2 linked regions of the Canis lupus familiaris genome follow. The protein of the gene in region 2 interacts with the protein of the main gene of each other region in a biochemical or structural test. Links are inferred from orthologs where the notes say so. Each region holds a gene or a part of one and is shown on either strand. Other genes may lie near its edges.

Evidence for each region.
Region 1: the proteins of MC4R (region 2) and POMC form a complex in vitro, tested with the Homo sapiens proteins (2 studies listed by BioGRID). The link is inferred for Canis lupus familiaris from reciprocal best matches to the Homo sapiens genes MC4R and POMC.

What each region holds. Positions count from the first base shown.
Region 1 is NC_049238.1:19,500,820-19,505,153, forward strand, and holds the start of POMC (pro-opiomelanocortin), read right to left. Parts: upstream 2,811-4,334; 5' UTR 2,652-2,810; intron 1-2,651.
Region 2 is NC_049222.1:16,213,056-16,215,976, forward strand, and holds MC4R (melanocortin receptor 4), read left to right. Parts: upstream 1-1,365; coding exon 1,366-2,364; downstream 2,365-2,921.

The DNA.
Region 1 (4,334 bases), on a different chromosome or scaffold from region 2:
CAGTAAAGAAGGGAGCGGTGATGCAGCCCTTCGCCCCTGCGCCCCACACTTTCCCCAGCCTTCCACCTCTCCCATGGTCATTTCCCCCCTCACCCAGGTCAGCTTCTTTTGTGATTAGCTCACAACCAACCCACAATCATTTTACATTTCAGAAGAACTTCTCAACCAACTGCAGAAAGAAATCTAATTAGATGAGAAGAGTAATTCACATTAAGGTGTGGATGACTAATTTTCTTATCTGTCCTAATGGACATTTGCATTTGTAAATGTTTGCCTAAAAGAAATCTCCTATTCGTGGAGGGGAGGGGGGCAAATCTTTTTTATAGAGAAGGCTTTGGAAATGAAAGTTCTCCCTGGCTCTCATTGTCTAGTTCAGAAAGCCATTTCCTTTTCTTTGTCCCACCCCCACTCCTTCCCCCCAAAGCTAAGCCAGCTCTGGGCTCCCTTCTTGAATGATTGCCAGGCACAACCTGAGTGTCTTCAGAACAGCCATTAGGTGGCGCTGGCAGCCAGTCAGCTGGCTGAAGGGGCAACCAGGAGAGCATTTGATCAACCTTGATGTCCAGTCTTGTTTTTTTTTTTTAAGATTTTATTTATTTATTCATGAGAGACACAGAGAGAAAGGCAGAGACATAAGCAGAGGGAGAAGCAGACTCCCCGCAGGGAGCCCGATGTGGGACTCGATCCTTGGACCCAGGATCACACCCTGAGCCGAAGGCAGATGTTCCACCACTGAGCCACCCAGGTGCCCCTTGATGTCTAAGTCTTGACCAGGGGTAGGCTGCCCCCACTGTAGCATTTTGATGCTCCAGTTCAAAATTGGAGCCCAAACTTGGTGGGCAAAGCAATTTAAATTAAAGCTCTGATGGGGTGCCTGGGTGGTTCAGTCTGTTAAGCATCTGGCTCAGGTCATAATCTCAAGGTTCTGAGCAGGGATCCTGTTTCTCCCTCTGCCTCTCTCTGCCACTCCCCCGGCTTGTGCTCTGTGTGTGTGTCAAATAAATAAAATCTTAATAATAAAAAAAAAGCTCTGAGATTATACAAACATCTGGGTCAGAAAAATGTGAGATTTACAAGAGAGGCAGAAAAATGGTCATTACATATCACCGTGGGCAAGTGTAAAATAACATTAGTAGAGAAAAAGTAAAATCATACAGATCTGCCAGTCACTTCAATTATACTTCAATTCTCCTCAAGGCTGGCCATTCTGGGATGATTTCCATTTTCTTAAAACCTACCTCATGATTTCAGGCCTTCCTGAGAAGCCCCAGAGAGCATTTCTCCTCTCTCTACTGCACTGGCTGTGTCGTACAACATAATAACATTCACACTGCCCTCCCTCTCAGAGTTCCATTCTACTGCTAAAAAGTCAGTTTCCTGAAAGCAACTTGATTTCTTTTTGCTTATGTGTATTTTCTATTTTTCTATAATGAACAAATATTATCTTGTGTCATTTTTTACAAGCAATAAAGTAACGAAGAAATGTCAGATATTGTGCTTTTGTAGGTAGGGATAGTGTTATATATAATTTAATAATTGAAAGCCTTGGGAAAATAAATAGAAATTTATGATTTACTAATCTTGACATTAACTTTAAACAGAACTACTTTTATGAGAACTTCATATGTGTAGGCAAATTCTCTTTGAGCTAAACAAAATATTGTTTGTCAGTCTAAAACTGCACACTGGTCATGCCCTTCTGTAAAGATTAGAGGAGCAGAGGTGCAGAGTTTTCTCCTTTCACCATGACACACGTGCATCAAGTCCTAAAACAAAAGTGCCAAAGGAATATTAAGTCATTAAATAAGGTTTAATCTGTGCAAATGTTCACAAGTGACAAAATAAATGCACTTGTACTTTCCTTGGCTTCTTCCAGCCGTCTGTGAGAATCACCACCTTTCCATTTATACACGAAAAATTGGGGGGATCCAAATGCCCTGCAGACTCTTCCTCCTTCATTGGAAATCTCCATCAACTAAGCCTCCAACAGCTCAAAGGGTTGTTTCCACCCTGCAATCTAGGGTCTTCAGGATAGAGGTCCACTCTGCGGTCCTATTGAGGGCACCCACAGGGTGTTCAGAACCTTGGACAGTTCCCACACGGGGACACCTCTTTTTAACCCCAGTTGGGTCTTAGAGACCCGCATCTGCATCCAGACACCTCAGGTGCCCTAAAGTGGGCAGAGAAAGGAGGATTCAGGGGTCTGAATCCAAAGAAGTCTGGAATGCAGGGATTTTATTGTAACTTCTAGCCTTTGTTCTCTTGCTCTCATTTCCAACGTTAATTTGCTCTACAGCATATGGTATCTTTTAAGAAAAGAAAATCGAGAGGAAGAGGAACCAAAAGACAGGGCTTTACCGAGATCTCCCCCCAGAAGGCGGTAGGAGTCTCAGGGGTCCTAGCAGCCCGACTCCCCGGGAAAGACACGGCCGCCGGCTCCTGGAAGGGACCGCTTTCAGCGTCGCAGCCGCTCGCCCACCATCCCGAGGCTTCCCGCGCCGCATTCAGGACAGAAAGTTTTCAAGGAACTCAGGACCGCAGCGAGCCAAAGGCGCCTCAAGTCAGCGATCGGAGCCGGGCGAGATCATCCCGAGGCCCAGGGGCAGGGGGTTTCGGGGTAAGAGCGAGGTTCGGCGCCGCTGCGCCCTTACCTGTTGCAGAGGCTGCGCTCTGGGCGACTCCCGCTGCGCTGGGCGAGGATGCTCGGCGGCCTCCTCAGGTCACTTTTCTTCTTTCTCCTCCGCCGCCGCCTGGTCCGAGTCGCTCTCCTCGGTCCTTATATACCTGCGGGGCTCGCCCGGGTGGGCAACGGACGTGAACTTCCTGGCAGCGTAACAAGCAACTCCCCCGACCGTGAGAAGGGGGGCCATAGGGCTCAGGAGGGAGGTTTCCAGGTAGGGGCTAGAGAAAGGGCAGAAGTGCCCGGAAAGGGGGCCGGGTCTCTACCCCGCAGGCTGGAATTAACACTGTCCTGCTGAAGGGTGCACCTGGCAGCTATCAGGAGAGAACTTAATTAAGGATGGTGTTGGGTCTCCAGTTAGGACGAGCAGGTGGCTTAGCACCCCGGTGTGGGGTAGGCCTGGAGCGCTGGCTGAGGTCTTTGAGGAGAGGGTGAAGTTACTTGTGTGCGTGCTTGGTCTGGCATCTGCCTCGTTCACACTTGGAGGTAAATATTCCACAAAGGGGAGTGTGTCTGTAATGCCTCAGATTTCCCCATCCTTTGGAAACTGTGGTGAAGATGTCATGGGGAATCACAATCCCTCTGCCTCAGGTTAGCAGAGTAGGTTGGTGGGAACCAGGGAGGTAGGGAGGGGAGCAGAAAAGGTCAGGGGTCACTCACCTGAGGCCCAGGGAAGGTTGCCTTCTTGGAGGTGTGAAGGCAAGTTGCACTGCCGCTCCTGGGGCCTAGGCCAGAGCAGGCTCCTTCCTGTGCTCCAGACCCCAAGGAAAAGGTGCTGTTAACCTTCTACTACTAATGGGGAGGGGAATGGGGTGCTCTATGGAGAACAGCTGAAGTACTTTCCCTATGGTCTACCTTAACCTGGAGTAAAGAAGAAACAAATTGTGAGGGGCGGGGGTGGGAGGGAGTGTTAGAACAAAACTGAACTTCAGATCAAGGTGCTTGTTTTATTTATTTATTTGTTTGTTTGTTTGTTTATTTATTTATGCGCTCATTTTAGTCTGCCAATTGCAGCTTTCTTTATTCCCAGTCAGATGTTCTTTCGGACTCCAACACTCCTGTGAGAATTCTTGGTTGGTGACATTGGCTTTATAGTCCACAATCCTTTCCTTTTGGGATACAGGAGAAATCTAAACTCCTAAACAGTAAACAAGATTGTTTATCACTTGACCTTGCCCTGAGTCTCAAGGGTCACTTCCCACCTGTCCATCTTACATCCTGGCACTTCAACCATCCACAACATTCCTTTTTCCTTTTTTTTTTTAAGTTCTATTTATTTTATTTATTCATGAGAGACACAGAGAGAGTGGCAGAGACACAGGCAGAGGGAGAAGCAAGCTCCCTGCAGGGAGCCCGATGCAGGACTCCATCCCAGGACCCCAGGATTATGACCTGAGCCAAAGGCAGACGCTCAACCACTGAGCCACCCAGGTCCCCCTCCAATATTATTTCCTTAAGAGACTTTTTCCTTAGTCAGATACTTTATTGCTTTTTCCCCAGTCTGATGTTTTACATCTTCTTGAGAGATTTCTTATAATGACATTTTCTTAATGGAATATAGAATGAATAGTGTCAGGTGATAATATGATTTTTCCCCTTTACTGGGATAATGTGGTGAATAGCATTGTTGATTTTTAGTGTTACACCTACCATG
Region 2 (2,921 bases):
ATGATGGTATCATGAGTGTAAGCATATGTCCAAACCCATTAAAATATATATGTTAAATATGTATAATATTTTGTTATATCAGTTGTATGTCAATAAAGCTTAAAGACTGAGTTTTGCCCAATTATTGATCTTTTTCCTTTTGAGAGCAGAGTAAATATAGTTTATACTATCACCATATGGCTTCTAAATATCATGAATGAGAATAAAACTTTCCCAGCCATGATAACAGAAACTCTGCAGTGGAGAATTATCAGCTATTAGTGCACAAAAAAAGAAAACAAAACAAACAAACAAACAAAAAAATGAACCCCGTCTAGAATCCTTGGATAAACTGTAGCTACCTACATCAGTTCTCCCATCCGGAGCACAGTGTACCTGTATTATCAGATATTCTCCCTGTCTTTCAGGTATTGGAAATTGAAGCATTATTTCCTGGATTCTTAATTCAAACAAATTGAGAGTAAACAAATTCAATATCCTGACCAAAAAGGCAGCGTGTCTATTTCAGGAACATAAGCACACAAATGCCTGCGTGGGCACACACGCGCACACACACACACACAGAGAAACACAAGTGTCTCTCTTTGAAGCAGAAATAAAGCTGGGGGAGCCTGGCTTGTTGTGTTATCAAGGAACAGTCTCCAGGGACCAAGTTGTTTTCCTTGAAAACTTGGCAAGGAGAATCCAGTCTCTCTCATCCTGCTTGCTTCCCCCAATTCCACAAGCTTCTGCATCTGGATCCGTGTTGCCCTGCAATTTGTATCTGGAATATCAGCCGTGCCTCACAGACTTCCAGTGCGTTTGGATTGGTCAGGAGGAAGCAGAGGAGGAGCCACTCTGAACATTTTTTTTTCTTCCCCTCCCCACACCATAAAATCAGCAGCAGCCACTAACACTCAGAGCAATGCTTCGGGTTGGGAACTAAGACCGTGGGGAGGCAGCTGATGCGAACATGTGCACGCAGATTCAGCTCCTGGTGGCTCGGCGGCAACTCGGAGAATTACTTGCAACAGACCTCACTGAATGCCCTAGACTAAAGTTAAGGTGGGAGTGAGGACAAAAAAAAAAAGAAAAAGAAAAAAGAAAAAAAGAAAAAAAGAAAAAGCAAAGAGCAGACTCTTTGAACTAAGAATGAGCATTTCAGAAATCGAAGATGTTACAGTGAAGGTGATCGGAGCTGTACCTGGAAGACAGTAAGAGCTCCACTGCCAGCCTTTTGGAGCACGGGACAGGTACTCAACACCTGGCAGGCCAGCTGGATCCTCAGAACTTTGGGACGCACGGAGAGGGGGAGAACATCACCGGGGCTCCCTGGCTGGAGAGGCCGAATCAGTCCCGAGGGGGTCTGCATACACTTGTTGCAGGATGAACTCCACCCTTCAGCACGGAATGCACACTTCTCTCCACTTCTGGAACCGCAGCACCTACGGACAGCACGGCAACGCCACTGAGTCCCTTGGCAAAGGCTACCCCGACGGGGGATGCTACGAGCAACTCTTCGTCTCCCCGGAGGTGTTCGTGACTCTGGGGGTCATAAGCTTGCTGGAGAACATTCTGGTGATCGTGGCAATAGCCAAGAACAAGAATCTGCACTCACCCATGTACTTTTTCATCTGTAGCCTGGCTGTGGCCGATATGCTGGTGAGCGTTTCCAACGGGTCAGAGACCATCGTCATCACCCTGTTGAACAGTACGGATACGGACGCGCAGAGTTTCACGGTGAATATTGATAATGTCATTGACTCGGTGATCTGTAGCTCCTTGCTCGCCTCGATTTGCAGCCTGCTCTCAATTGCAGTGGACAGGTACTTTACTATCTTTTATGCCCTCCAGTACCATAACATCATGACGGTGAGGCGGGTTGGGATCATCATCAGTTGCATCTGGGCGGCTTGCACGGTGTCAGGCATCTTGTTCATCATTTACTCGGACAGTACTGCTGTCATCATCTGCCTCATCACCATGTTCTTCACCATGCTGGCCCTCATGGCTTCTCTCTACGTCCACATGTTCCTCATGGCCAGACTGCACATCAAGAGAATCGCCGTCCTCCCGGGCACCGGCACCATCCGCCAAGGGGCCAACATGAAGGGTGCCATTACCTTGACCATACTCATTGGGGTCTTCGTCGTCTGCTGGGCTCCATTCTTCCTCCACTTGATATTCTACATCTCTTGTCCCCAGAATCCATACTGTGTGTGCTTCATGTCTCACTTTAACTTGTACCTCATTCTGATCATGTGTAACTCCATCATCGACCCTCTCATTTATGCACTCCGGAGCCAAGAGCTGAGGAAAACCTTCAAAGAGATCATCTGTTGCTATCCTCTGGGTGGCCTTTGTGACTTGTCTAGCAGATACTAGCTGGGGACAGAGGAAGTACTAAAAACATGCACCAGAGACTTCTTCATCCTCACACAACATGAACTGTGTGCTTGGACAACAGCTGCTTCTTCAGTATAAGGCAGGAGTTGAGAATATCTGTTGCACAAATTCAACTTTATGATGTTTTGATGTGAAAAAAAAAATGCCCAGGCTCTGTACATTGCTAATGTCATGCTACTTTTGGGCTGTGCATTGTTAATCCATTTCGACGCTGTAGACACTTTGAATTTCTAGAAAAGAAAAAAGCTTCCATTAAAAGCATATCAGTGTTTCTTGTTATTCACGAGGATTTGGCACTTTGCTTGCTTTAGGAAACATAGAAATCATAGAATCATTAACTATGTAGCCTGATAAGTAACTTCTTATATTATACTATATCACATGAAATGTGCAGATTTGAATGTAGCATGGGGGGTGGATATTGAACAATAGATACTTGGTCATTAAAACAATCAACTGAAATTTTAAGTAATAAAATGTGTTCATTCTCCCTGTTGCAGAAATAGAAATGAAGCTTCTGTTGAGAGAAAAACAGC